Linked DNA regions of Caenorhabditis elegans. The protein of the gene in region 2 purifies or fractionates together with the protein of the main gene of each other region. This does not show direct contact. Each region holds a gene or a part of one and is shown on either strand. Other genes may lie near its edges.

Region 1 (7,792 bases), on a different chromosome or scaffold from region 2:
TGGTAGTTGACTGCAATCCCATTACAGATAATAAAAGGAACAGATTAATTTAATGAAAAAACAGCGGACAATCTTACAATAATACAAACAGTTGAGATAAATAAGACAAATTTCGATGGAAGATTTATACAATGACATTGATCAGCTTTCCTCTTCATCCTCTTCGAAGATATTGTGAAGGTGATAAGCTTGACTTTCTGTAAAATTAAGGCGTTTTGTAAATTCAAGAAATTGTGAATACCTTACTTCTGTTTTTCAAGTCTTCCTTTTCGGTAATAGCCGACAAATTAAGGGAGAATGTGACATCGCTTGGATCTGCGTCTTCTCGTGATCGAATCGGAGTTGAACAATGACGTCCTGCACCAAGCTTACTTTCATCGAAAATCAACGGAGTCACTCCGCGTGACAGTGGATCATTTTCAGTGTTACCAGATGAACTTGTTGGCACATTTTCCTCTTCCTCGTCAACAGATTTCCGTTTTCGATTAGAATTCTCTTTCACGACTGGTGGCTCTGTTGACTGACCCCGACGACTACGACGCAAAGTGACGTTGGCCGAAATATTGACTTCCTTTTCCGGGGATTCTTCAAGAAAATAAATTATTTAAAACACATTTTTTCTTGTGTGAAAGCGTGGTCAATAAAATACAGCAAATTGAACAATGAAATCAGGAAAAATAACTTACTGTTGACAATTTTCGGCTTCTTCCATATTTTTCCATCAGCATCCACAGACTCTTCATCATCGTAATTTGGCGTTTTTCTACGACGAGCTGGAATAATTTTTGAATTCAGACGTTTTTTTTAGTATTGTTTATTGTTTTCGACGATTATGCATTGTAGTTTTTTTCAATCAAAAGTGAGCGAAAAGCCTGTCGTTAACTAACAAATTAATATAATTTTCTGTCGAAAAATAACACTCGGAATTGTATCTAGTTCACAAATGCCCAAAATTATCAGATTTTGCAACAACCAAAAAATTAAAACCAAAATTATTTCTCCAGTTTCGAAAGAATTTTTCTTGTGCAAAAAAAATCTAATTTATTAGATTTATCTAAGCTAAGTTCCCTTTCATCCAAATTTCCGCTCAACCATATACATACATCTTCTAGATTCCGATTGCACATCGACCACCTCGTCCTCTTCAGCTTCTGTAGCTGGAGGTATTTCAACAGCTATCACAGTTTTCTCCGCATCAACATGATCATTTTCGGCTGTCACAGTTTTCTCGGCGGCTGCCTCTTCCATTGGTTCCTCCTCTACAATGGTCTTCTCTTCTGTCTTGTCGGCCTGTTTAGAACGGTTTATCGTCGTATCATCTATCTTGGTTTCTTCCAAATTTGGAGGATTAAGGCGCATTTCAGTGTGAATAAGTGCTCCCAGAGAGCGACGAATCTTTTTAATAGTTTTTGGTGACAATAGTCTCGCATTCGGAGTAGACTTCTCTTCTGTGGTACTTCGGAGAGCATTTAATGGAGTTCTGGGCACATCAGCATCCGGGTTCTTCTTCTGTGGAGTTCTCATTTCTACTTCTTCTTCCACGTTTTCTTGATCTTCCTCGATTCTTCTAGCAGGTGACCCCATCTCAACAGCTTCAGCACTCTCTTGAACTGGCTCAGCATCGAGTTCCATTGGCGCCGGCGATTTCGAAAGTCTCTTCTGCTGCTTTTTAAACTCAGCGACTCTCTTCAAATACTCGTCGAGAATTCTATTCGCCTCCTCTGTTCTCTGTTTAACTCTTTGCAATTCAAACATCATCTCGTCCTTCAATTGACGATTGTCTTGAAGTATTTCGTCTATATCGTTCTTGTGTTCAATACATATCATTCGAATCGCGAGAAGACACTTTCTTTGGAGCGGCGAGCGATGTTGATTGAGAAATTCACGAAGAGATAGGATAGAAGGTACGATGGTTTTCATGTAGTGATCCAGATATACTTTTTGCATGAAGCCGGTTGCAGCTTCCAAAACTTCGGGAGATGGATCATCCATCGCATTTTCATTAGGATTCTTCCCGACGTCCATTTTCACTTGCATTTCGTTTGAAGCCATTATCTGTAATGCGAAAATTAAGATAAAATTGTAACATTTGTATTATTTAGTTACCAAAAGAGCATCGTCAAGTAGGCATTGAACATTGTAATCGCTGAAATCGTACTCTCCATTGACAATCGGAGTAAAGATACGCTGACAAATGCTCATTTTCACATCAAATCGGGAACGATCATCCAAAGAATCAATCATGAACGTGTAGATGGCAATTCTGGATGGTCTAGCCAATGGATCACCACCTCCAATAGCAACATCAACTTGTCCTCTGTCATCTTCATCGTGACCAACTCCAACCAATCGTCGAGCTTGCGTAAGTGCAATCATGTACTGTACAAAGTTGAGAGGGAAGAAGTTGGGCTCTTCAGATTGGAGAACCTCACTAATGTAAAGTTTTGCGTCATTCCGAACATCTTCATTGGCGTCAAGAGAAGCTAACATCATACGGATCATGATTTCTCCATTAAACCGAAAAATACCAAACGAGATTAGTCGAGCAATCTGATTGATGGCGTGTCGACGAACAATAACTGAAGGATCACACAACGATGCAGCGAGCATTGGCGCATATCGATCTGTTTTGTAGGATGAACAAATATCACCAATGGCTAGTACGATATTAGACCGAATTTGATGAGCTGTATTGTATTGAAGCTGTTTCACAAGCATCGGCATCAGTTTCAATAGACGATCGTGCGCCAAAATCATATTCGCCAAGGTGACGACTCCAACTGCACGGACTTTATCACTGAACATGGCACCTTCATGGGACATCATACCACCCTTGGAAGACTTCTGTGATGATGGAACTTCGGATAACTGAGTTGGTGGTCGTGTATGATGAACAGAAGGCATATCTGGATTAACTGTCGACGCATCAGAAGAACCGTTTTCCGTGGAATTCACAATCAGCGAAAGCGTTTTTCCGAGTCGTTCATGTCGCGGAACAAGTTGTGGTGAATAGGAAAATACTTCAGATGCCACGTTGAGAGCTGTACATAGAAGCCTTTCTTGACTTTCGGAATTTCGTTTCCATTCATCTTTGTCTTTGAACATCTCAAACGATTGCACGATCGTATCGAAACATTTAATGAGAAGAGTCTCTCCGAAATCGCTGAACTCTTTTCCATCTGAAAATAAAAATTGAATTAACATTTAAAAGAAAGACGTACGAAGAGATCTATCACCAATTCCGTCCATTAACTTTCCGAGACAATGGTAGATACTTCTAGAATGAGATGGATGCAGGCAATAATCACGAAAAGTTCCTTGCAAAGTGTTCACAAGATCTGATTTTGTATCGTCATCGATTTTCTTGATATTGTTCTCAATGACGTGGATCATGTATTGCACGAGATTTGATTCTCGAGACAAGTCAACTCTGCTGAACGTCTCAATCGCAAAATCAACGTTCTGTTCAAACTGAACACACAACTGCGAGAACACCATCCATGCGCCATCCAGTTTCTCACTGCCACTAATAATGTGCTGCTTCATCGAATCCATTACTGTGCGCTTGACGAGTTTTTCACGAACTGCATCTTTCAATGTGCTCATGAGGTATTGACGGTGATTGGTGACAGATTCAATTGTATCTAACAGCGTCCATGTGAGATCCGATGAGTTTTCGAGTAAGGGAGTGAGAACTTTCTGGAAATTGGAAACAAATTAAGCTTCTATTATAAATAATTAAGCCCATACCATAATCAACTTTCTGGCATGTTCAGTGACGTCATTATCTGTATCATTCAGCATCGAGATCAAGGTGTGAAGCCATTTTGAACTGAGACTTTCTCTGAAAATAAAATTTGTTTTAAATTTCGTCAAAGATTACAATTACTTGAAAAGGATTGCATCTCGTAACATAAGTTCTGTAAACGCATCGGCTCCAGTTTTTCTGACTGAAACCATTCTGTCTCGACATAACATTTGAAGAATTGAAAGCACAACTTCAAATTTCGATGCTTCGTCGCAATATGATAGATATGATTTGAGAAGCGAGCACGCAGCCTTCTTGACCGGAGCCTTGTCGTCAGTTGATAGTCGGCGCACGATCATATAAACTATATCCTTTTCAACGCGTGTCTCTCCCTTGTTCATCAGTTTCAACTTATTGAACTTTTGAATGATTTGCTGCTCGTCGAGAAGTAGATCCGTTGGCTTTTTTGTTTTACTACTTGGTGCTTTACCAGAAACATTTAAATCTTCAAGACTTTCACTCAGGTTGTCGCCCACTGCGCCGAACTTTTCATCCATTTCCGCATTTATTGTTGCGCAGAACAATTGGAAAGCTTCTCGATGCGATTGAGACTGAAGGATTTTCGTCAAACTATTGGCTCCGTGAAGTCGCATAGCTGCAGCTTTATCCAAACAAGCCATGTAAACGATGTTATACAGAACAGACATTGCATCCATTCGACCAACTTCTTTAACTTCCTTCGCCTTCTTTTCTTTCTTCTTCTCTTCTTTCTTTTTAGAAACATTCTCCTCGTTATCGCCATCATTCTCTTCGTCTGATTTATCCGACTGTTCTTCCTCTTTGACTGCAACATCATCCTGCTCGTTTTCTTCCTCCTCTTCTTCATCTTCCCCTTCCTCCTCCTCATCCTCTTCTTCATTCTGCTCTGCGTCCAAGTTTGGAATAGCTCCTGGGTCAGGTGCGGTGAAGTCAAAACTGCTGATGAGAATACTCGAGAGCTCTGTAGACAAGGATTTTACTCCGGCTCCGCGGCCTTTGAACAAGACATTCATGAACTGGACAAAATCATAGGTATATGTGTATGGAAGAGCTTCGAGAATCTTGTGGATAAACGTGGCGATATTTGTTCGAAACTCGGCTAGATCTGGACATTGTGAATACACCATCACAGTAACCTAAAATTTAAAAATAAGTTAATAAAATATTTCGAAGAAACTGCTCACTGTCTGAATATACTTCAACTCTCTTGCTTCGGGATTTCTTGAAATTCGTGATAGAATTAAATTGACATGTAATTCACCAGATCTCTTTCTCTCCGTTGAAATCTTTGAAGATTTATTGCTTTCATCTGGATATGGCATCAGCGCAAGGCGAGGGCGAATAAGTCTTCCGTAAGCCTAAATTTGTACTAACCTTATTAATTTGTTTTGTAATTTTTTTAATTTTAATCCCACCACTTCTGCTCTTGTTTTATACTTGCTTTCTACTAAAGAATGCACAAATGCACAGTATCGATCCGTAAATCGCTCCAACGATCGGAACTCGTGGACTGAATTCGCTCGAATCGCTCTTCCTGCGGTTCGATTGTCAAGATCTAAACGGCCGATGTCTTCCACGACTTCTAGTGTGCTCATGAGTGTTGGTGTATCAATACTGAAGGTGTTGCTATGCAGAAAAGCAAATAACTGGGTTGTGAGATGATGCAGGTATCGCTCAGCCGAATCGACAGCAATTCGAGGGGGACCAATTATAGGATCTGCTGCTCCCGTTGTTACAGTCATTTCTCCATCCACATTTGTTTCGTCTGACTTTCCACCCGCTTTCTTTTTCTTTGCTCCACTTGATTTTTTTGTAACGACAGTCTCTCCTATCCTAACTGTATGACAACAGTTTCGAATAATTTTCAGACATTGCTGAAAAAATAACATTGATTATATGACATGTAATAAACCCGTATACTTACATTGTATAAACCAATTTGATAAAGATCTGAGATTGCTCCAGGCAATGAGCACATAGCAATATAACTACTGGCAGCAGAAACTCCTTTATCAACATCCTCTTCCGAACTGTCAGATCTCTGTCCGTTTTCGAGAAAATACCAGACGAATAGATTAAACTTCATTGTCGCCACATCACTTTCTTCAAAAATATTCCGAATATCGCATTTCTTTCCCGAGATTACAACGCTTTCGGCAAGTTTCTTTACTGAAAATAACAATTTTGAATAGTGAAGCTAACAAAATTCTCAACATACGCTCTTTCAGAACTCCACTCAGATCTTGCTCGAAAAAAGTCAGGTCAACAGAATTTGTGAATTCTTCATAATCTTCATAATTGCATTCTGCTGAAGAAGTTGCAACGGCATCGTCAATATCGTTGAGAGACCGGAGATTTGACTCAAGAAACTCCGATAAATCTTTTTCGTTGATATTCGACATTGAATCTAAAATAAAAAATGAATCATTTCAATAAGGGTAATTTAAAACGTTAAAAATAAATATTTAGGAAAAAAAATTAGGATCTCTGTTTGAATTTACCGCGTTGAGATTTTTAGGCCACGGCCATTGTGTTTCTAGGCCATGGTGCAAACACGGCGCGCAATACTGCGGACAAAACATTTTAACACCCGATTTTTTTTTTTGGTTCTTACTTAGGCTTTTTACGTTTTGAGTGTTTTTCATCTTTCTTTGCTTAACTTAATATTTTTTAGGCAATGATCGGCCGCATGGGACTTGGCAGAGTTATAACTCGCAGTTTATCGTCGGTTGAGCCTGCATTATCTCAAAAATTGACAATACAGCCAGCAATCGAGGTTGACTATTTTTAAAAATTCATACTTGAACTTCTATATTTCCAGAGATCTCCAACAGATTTGTTAAATGCCTTGTCAGAAACCGTTGGCCCGGACACAACTGCTCCACATTTTGCCTACATTGACGATCCAATTACCATTCCTTCCACGCAGTCAACGAAAAAGACCTATTTTATGGCGAAGGTAAAATTTTTGCCGGAATATTAGAATAAGTTTGATAATTTTAGGAGTTTGGCAAAAGAGCTGCACGAGAACTAGCTACAGAATGGCCAACCCTCTTCGCTTTTGACAGAGATCAACCTCAGCTCCCGGTTTTCCGTCCTCGACATCTAGCAGATCCCCTTCAAGTTGAACCGACAGAGAATAACCTGCTTAAAATGATTTCAAGTCGAGAAGTAAAAGACTCGTGTATTTTGTATGAACGCATGCGATCAGAGAACGTTGACGTTAGCGAGAAAGTCCAGCTGGAACTATTCCGTCTTGTAACCTATTACAATTCGTCAAACGTACCTTTCGCAGAATGGGAGGAGTTTGTTGGAATGCGCAATTTTGGAGAAGATTCTACATCCTCATGGAAATCGGGTGCAGTCGCTGATCTTCTTTTCGAAACTCTCCCAAAAACTGATGAAACCGTTTCTATAATGATTGCTGGTCTATGCAAGTTTTCTGATCATTCTAGTTTGGAAAGAGCTAGAGAATTGTACAAGGAGCATCGAGCTGCAAAAGGAAAAGTTTACCGAGAAGCGTTCAATGGATTAATTGGCGCTTCAAGCTACAGTGTCGGGAAGAAATTGGTAGCTGAAATGATTTCCCTCAGAATGACACCCGATATTTTCACGTTCAATGCATTACTGTCGTCTGCTGCAAAAGCTGGAAAGTTTGAAGATCGTGTGAAGGCGTTCACTGAAATTATTGGAGAAATGAAAGAGATTGGAGTTGAACCAGCACTGTCATCTTTTCATTTAATTATCAAAAACATCATAGATTTTAAATTATTGGATAATGAAAAACGAGAGAGTGACGAGCAAAAGAAGACCTATAATCACCAGCTCACCGTGGCTATATCTTGGCTCAATGAAATTCAGAATAGCCTTACTGGAAAAACTCTCAAGCCGATTACATCCACTTGTAATCTTTTCTTCGTCGAAGCAATGGGAATCCATTACAGAGCTGCAAATGAGAACCTCGCAGAAAATCTTGTTTCAATTTATGAATCCAAAGCAAACGAA
Region 2 (6,331 bases):
TACCATTCTTCTTCCTGTTAATTCATTTGGAATACTCACTACACTTCCAGTTTCAACTCCGAAAAGAGTTACTATAAAAACACCATTGGTTCCTTTGAATTATCACGACGACTTTGAAAATTATGAATTCGACGAGGAGCCAAAGTTTTGGATGCCACAAAAAGGATCATGGGTGGTACGAAATGGACGGGCGGTACAGAAAGTGACACGCCCATCAATTAGTTGGTGCACCTCACACATTCGAACTCCATATGCAGTTATGGCGTAAGAATTGATGACTTTGACCTATGAGGAACTACAGTATACCGTATTCCCTCTAATATTTTTACACCTCTTTTCTCAACTTTGGCAGCTCATATCTCAGTAGTAGTTTGTTCTATAGAAAAGTTGTCAACTGATAAAAATTTAGATAGATGTTTTTTCTGTAGTTTGTAGTTTGTTAATTATTTATATGTCCAAAAAGGAGATATGAGGTGTCAAAGTTGAGCAAAGGGGTGCAAAACTAATAGAGGAAATACGGTATACGGTATTCCTTCCATTTAGGTATCGAAAGAAGAATAGTATTCTAAACGCCGAGGTCAATATTCCAAAACACTCAACAGCTAAATCCATCATTCTAGGTATAAGGAGTAATTGTAGTGGTATGTAATTAGTGTTGTGATTCATATTAAAATCTATTACATTTTCAGGATGTGACATAGAAGTAATAAACTGTCGTGGAATATTTGTTGAGATTGAATTTTCAAATAAAAAAGTAACTATATTTTCCGATTTCGTTGACCGTTCAATAATTGCTGAATTCAAAGCACGAAGAAAAGTAGAATTTGGAAAGTTTTATAAATTCTCAATTCATTTACTGGACTCGCATCTCTTCATAAAATTCGGAAATCATCATGTGATGACTTCAGTGGAAATTCCAGAAGAACAATTAAATAAGGTTATTAAAATAATCAATTGAATTTCAAATATAATGTTTTCAGACAAATAATGACACTTTATTCGTGATTGGCACTGGAAATTTTGGCATCTCCGAATGGGATAATATTTCAACAGATTATTTTCACTGAGGCTGATTAATTACATTCAAAAAGTATTTAATATTGCTTGGGCATGTTTCTATTAAAATAAATGTACCATTTTATAATTTACCACATTATTGGAAAATGTCAAAATCAATTGCCACAAAAAACTAGATTCAAACTTCCGCGCAAATGGTACCGCAACGATGCTCCGCGTTTCGCTAAACAACGCGCGCCTCACGCGCGCAGTTTGAATTGAGAACGTTTTCCTGTTTTCTTTTTTTGTCTGAATTGTGTTATTGTGCTATTTATTATCCCTTTTTTGTACATTTTCAAAATTAAAGTATGGCCTCTGCTGTTGGAAAAGGAGTGACCGCTTTCAACACCATCAAAAACATCATTTCGGAACTGAAAAAGGTCGACAAAACATTCTCCCCGAATTCGGCACAATATAAATACCTCATGGAGCAAATGAAAGCCGACCAGGTTACAACAAGAAGATATTCAAAAGCCGAGAACGAGTCAGAGAGCGTTGCAAAACTCTATTTGAGCTATATTAAAGGGTTCGTTTGTTTTATGAGAATAAGAAAGTAATAATCAATATCCATTCATTTTAGAACCCGACAGCTTAATGAACTTCAAGAGAGATATAAGGGTGGCGAGAAGAGTGTTGAAGAGGCTGCTGCTATTGTTGGATTGAAACTTCCAGAACAAAAGAAACTTTAAAATACTTAAAATTGTTATTTCTTTCTCGAATAGATTAGATTCCTGTTTTCTTTTCAATCAAAATAAAATACTTCGTTTTTAAAATACTATTCAGGTTTTTTATAACTTCCTTATGGTTTTCGTACCATTCTATATCTTTTTTATAGTTAATCATCGCCAGAGCATTGGAATTGTTGTTTCAGGTACAAATGACTAGGAATGCTCCTCCAGGTCAAGAATCGACAGATTTAGCATGGCTCGTCACACCCGCAAAAGATCTTGTCGAGAACTTCTCAATCGACGTGTTGAAAGTAAGGATAATTTTTTTTCACGGTTGTATCTTTTCTTTTTCGGTAAATAAAATAAATAATTGCTCGACTTTCAGGCACTCGCCGGATACCTCGAGGTTATCAGACAAGAAAGTGAAGACACAGATAATCAGGTGGATGCAGCGACAACTTACAGATTGTTCGATTTTCAACGAGCATGCCGGATTATTCAAGGATCGTGTGCCGTATATGGTCGAAAAGTAGATCATGTCTATGAACTGACGATTTCAGTTGTGGATTTAGTCGAGAACAAAGGTCAAGATGATGGAAACACCGGCAGTAGACGAGGAGCTGGAAGACGGAAAAATTTTAATTTGGGATCGACGAATTACGACTTGGCTGATATCGACTCACTGAAACAGGAAGCTCTAGCAAATTTTGAGAAGACAGTAAAAGAAGAGAAAAAATCGATTGATGCAGTGAGAATGGTCGAGAATGCTGAAGTTATAGAGTCTCAATATGAGCGAAAAAGCTGTTTAGTAGCAAAGCCAACCCAGTTCATGTTCAAGCTCAATTACGGCCAGCTCAATCGTACTGATGAACAAATTTTGAATGCAAAATCTCGTCCTGATGTTATCGGAAAAGTAAAAGATTTTGAAATTAAAAAGTCGAAAGTTAAACACGATCAACAAATACTCTACTCCCATGATTGTTATCGTGGAAATTTAGACCAATTCACACTACCTGGTGCTCGTTGGATGCCAGATAATAAGGAATTGGCAGCTAATTTTGGTGTTGCTGATTTGGAAGTTGAGTTAGATTTGGAGCAAGAGCATGAGAAGATCAGTGCATATGGACCGTTTAAGGTAAGTGGTAATAATTCGATGAAACATTTTCAAAACTTGATTTCTTCAGGATCCTCTCTCTGGCCGTGAAGTTGTTCCACCTCCTCGTTGGTTCATAGAGCAAGAAGCAGTTCGTCAAAATCAAGAAATTCAATCTCGTGCCACATCGAGAGCCATCACAATTGCAGCTAAAACTCTTCGAGATTCTCAAGGCTTTGGATCTCAACCAACTCGTCTCTCACAACCATTTGTTGAACGACATCGACAGAGTAATCATTTGAATGATTTCTTGTCATTTGTGGAGGGAAGAGTTAATAAGAATCGCCCGAGCACTCATCTTACCACTGGCTTAGTTGATATGTTCGTTGATAACTTTGGATCTGTTATGCAAAACGATGAACCAAACACTAGTAGAAGACCTGATGAGAATTACGCGCCCATGGACTTTGATGATGATTTTGGTGGTGGAGGAGACGATGACGACGATGATTATATTCGAAATTTGTCCAGAAGGGATGAGAAGCGAGCACCGGCACCATGGGACGAGCTGGATAAAAATCATATTATTTGGTACACGGGAGACGAGAATCTGCCAGGTATTTGTTGAATTAATGGGATTCTTTCGGTATTTTTTAGATTATATATATATATGAGCCGTGGACCGCACCTCCGGCGCGGCCCCCGACTTCTGGAGCTGAAAACCAATTTTTCTGAAACTACCGTAATCATACAGTACTCCTACCGTAATCATACAGTACTCCTACCGTACCACCATTGTACCACTACAGTACCCCGACTATATCCCTACACTAACCCCAACTCACTATCCCTCCAGAAGCTAAAACTTCGCAGACTACAAAGACTACATAGACTACAAGCTATGGACAAACGGAATAAGCGCTTTATATATAGTAAATGATATATTTCAGTCGTTAGCAAGCCGGTAAAAAAGATCACGAAATTCCAACCAAAACCCGCTGAAATGTTGGCTAGGAAGCAACGACGTGAGGAAAAGATCAATAAGTCTCGACGAGACGAGTTCATGGAAACTCACGACTATCTGCAGGATTACTACTATTGGAGAAGTGCGGCTCGTATAAATCCGATTAAGGACTGGAAGATAGAATCACTTCGTACTGCTATTCTAGCCGAGAAGAAACGAAGAATCAAGGAAAAGACTGCAAAAATCCGAGAAGCTCGTATCCAGAATATGCAGAGAAAACGGACAGCTCGTGTGATACCCGTGGAGCAATTTGAACCGGTAACAGAGGATATTCCAACGTCTAATAGAAGAACCCTCGGAGCTGAATGTAAGAAATTTCAATTTTATGAAATTTAAACTGAATTATATTTTTTCCAGATGACGACGTAGTCGATGAAGATCTTGCTGCCGAAGTCGAGCTCTCAATGTTTGGAGGTGGGTTCGATGACGACGAAGAAGACGTGCGGCCACGTGGTGAACGGCCTCCTATGGCTCCAAACAACCTAGAATTCGATGCTCTTCAAACAGATTTTGATATTCCGCCTGCTGAATATGTTCCATTAAGATTCGAGGATATTGATGATGCCGAACTGAACAGTGTTATCAATTTACCTGGAAATTTGCTCATCGACAGTAAGTTATTTGCAAAATTTTATAATAAAATTTTAAAATTAATACTTTGAAATTGTACTCTCTCAAGTCTATCAAGTAAATTTTCTATTTACAGAAGCTTTACCATTGCTCAAGAAGTTTGCTGAAAATCGAACAGATCGCGAACAAATGGCTTACGAGATGGCTAAAGCATATGAAGATGTGGATGTTGCCGTGTCAACTCTACAAGAACATGTTGACAAATGGCATTCTCGAATGGAACCAATCCTCGAAGAAGGAGAAACTCGAAAAGAGTATGATGTATGTTTTAGAGTATTTAATCTTAAAGGTGGAGTAGTGCCAGTGGGGATTTTGTCTAAATACACTTATAGTGATTCAAAACAACCGAATATCATAATAAAACACTCCAAAAAGTTTTAGATTTTTCATAATTTCCGGTCAAAGTTTTGGCAAATTGCCAAAATTTTGAAAAATATGAGCTTTTGAGGTTATTTAAAGAAATGTCGTATGTTTCGACCCCTACAATGTTTTAATACAATTAATTTAAACAAAATTAAAACAATAAAAAATGTAATAAATTTTTTTGGTCGACTTCCAAACATATGAGTGGCAAAAACTGAGTAATTGCCAGTTTTTGACAGTAAATAAAAAAATTTTCAAAAGTTTTATCATGATATTTGGTCATTTTGGAACCAAAGGAGTGGTTTTTAACAATTTCCCCACTGGCGCTACTCCACCTTTAATATTCTGGTCAACCACAGTAATTTGAAAAGTCAAAATGTCTAAATGTTTGAATTTCTCAATTATAATAATTTTCAGGTTCACGCAGTTGGTCGTGCTGTCATTGGCCAATACGATATTGAAGGTGGCACGAAACGTTTACTAGATTTGGTTATGGATCGTCCATGGTACGAAATCAGTCGATACTTCCTTTCGTGCCTCTTTATGTGTAATGTCGGAAATGTCATGGTCAGCGAGGACATGGAACTGCCACTCGAGGAAAGAATCAACTCGATGAAAATCACACTACTCAAAAGAGATATGCATTGTGAAATGTTCAAGGAGGCTGGCGCTCTTGATGCCTAATTTATAATTATTGTTTTTTTTGCATTAAATCTCCCGAAAACCATCTTAATTTATTTAAACATTCCTCATTGTCTCTACTTGTATCTCGATTTCTGGCTATACTTTCATTTTACTGTATCAATTAATTAACTTCTAGATGCCAAGTATTTTTCTTCTGTTCGTTATGGTACTTTACTGACTGTACAATAACTTTTTTTCCGACGAATTACCACTATTTCTTTGATTGTTTTTTAATTACGTCCTTCATTTTTTATTCAATCTTAAAAATAAATCGACTGGTTTTAATATCAAAGGCCCAAATCATAATTCAATTCCTGGTGCGTGGCATATGCGTTCATGAATGCAGCGCCATGTTCCAAAGATTGGGTGACGGATTGAACAACATCTGAAGAAATCATTTTCTGGAACCATTTTGTCAATTTAGGATATTCTTCTTCTCCTGGGAATTCAATTGTTGGTAAATCGACAACTCCATCCAAACTAGCTGACCACCAAATTTTCTCAAAAAATGGAAATGATAAGTAGTCTGGATAACCTGGTTGAGATCCTGAATAGTTTGAATTTGGTCAAAAAATTGTATCGATTAATTGAACTCACCAGCATAAAAATCATTGGCCAAGAGATTTTCAGCTTGTTTCAAAACTTCAAAAACTTTTCGCTGCTTTTCATCTTTCAAAGTTCGGTCTCGCATGACGGCGAAGAGCAATGGAACTGCATGGGCTACCTGAATTGCTTATTTAAAACAAAATAGTTTAGAAAATAGAAAAATTCAAGATCATATTTGAATTTCCTCCAAAATGAATAGCCACGCCC

What was found.
Region 1: the proteins of kle-2 (region 2) and hcp-6 purify together in Caenorhabditis elegans (affinity purification with western blotting; 2 studies listed by BioGRID, with this or other methods). This does not show direct contact.

The regions. Positions count from the first base shown.
Region 1 is NC_003279.8:5,163,554-5,171,345, reverse strand, and holds hcp-6 (Condensin-2 complex subunit hcp-6), read right to left. Parts: upstream 6,199-7,792; 5' UTR 6,190-6,198; coding exon 6,006-6,189; intron 5,957-6,005; coding exon 5,712-5,956; intron 5,662-5,711; coding exon 5,203-5,661; intron 5,146-5,202; coding exon 4,972-5,145; intron 4,924-4,971; coding exon 3,890-4,923; intron 3,845-3,889; coding exon 3,751-3,844; intron 3,700-3,750; coding exon 3,222-3,699; intron 3,180-3,221; coding exon 2,107-3,179; intron 2,056-2,106; coding exon 1,104-2,055; intron 774-1,103; coding exon 687-773; intron 586-686; coding exon 242-585; intron 198-241; coding exon 45-197; 3' UTR 33-44; downstream 1-32. Other genes in the region: let-630 (Small ribosomal subunit protein mS39), read left to right, coding at 6,465-6,563, 6,609-6,746, 6,791-7,792. UniProt on the Caenorhabditis elegans protein: Chromosomal protein which is recruited to mitotic chromosomes by hcp-3 (CENP-A) and hcp-4 (CENP-C).
Region 2 is NC_003281.10:7,939,790-7,946,120, forward strand, and holds kle-2 (Condensin-2 complex subunit kle-2), read left to right. Parts: upstream 1-1,927; 5' UTR 1,928-1,933; coding exon 1,934-2,035; intron 2,036-2,109; coding exon 2,110-2,859; intron 2,860-2,908; coding exon 2,909-3,434; intron 3,435-3,767; coding exon 3,768-4,148; intron 4,149-4,198; coding exon 4,199-4,453; intron 4,454-4,547; coding exon 4,548-4,732; intron 4,733-5,251; coding exon 5,252-5,518; 3' UTR 5,519-5,804; downstream 5,805-6,331. Other genes in the region: C29E4.10 (Putative galactocerebrosidase), read left to right, coding at 1-264, 544-641, 690-937, 981-1,067; C29E4.12 (Protein FMC1 homolog), read left to right, coding at 1,365-1,582, 1,637-1,745; gsto-1 (Glutathione transferase omega-1), read right to left, coding at 5,806-6,065, 6,116-6,242. UniProt on the Caenorhabditis elegans protein: Regulatory subunit of the condensin II complex, a complex that seems to play a role in prophase chromosome condensation and in chromosome segregation in mitosis and in meiosis.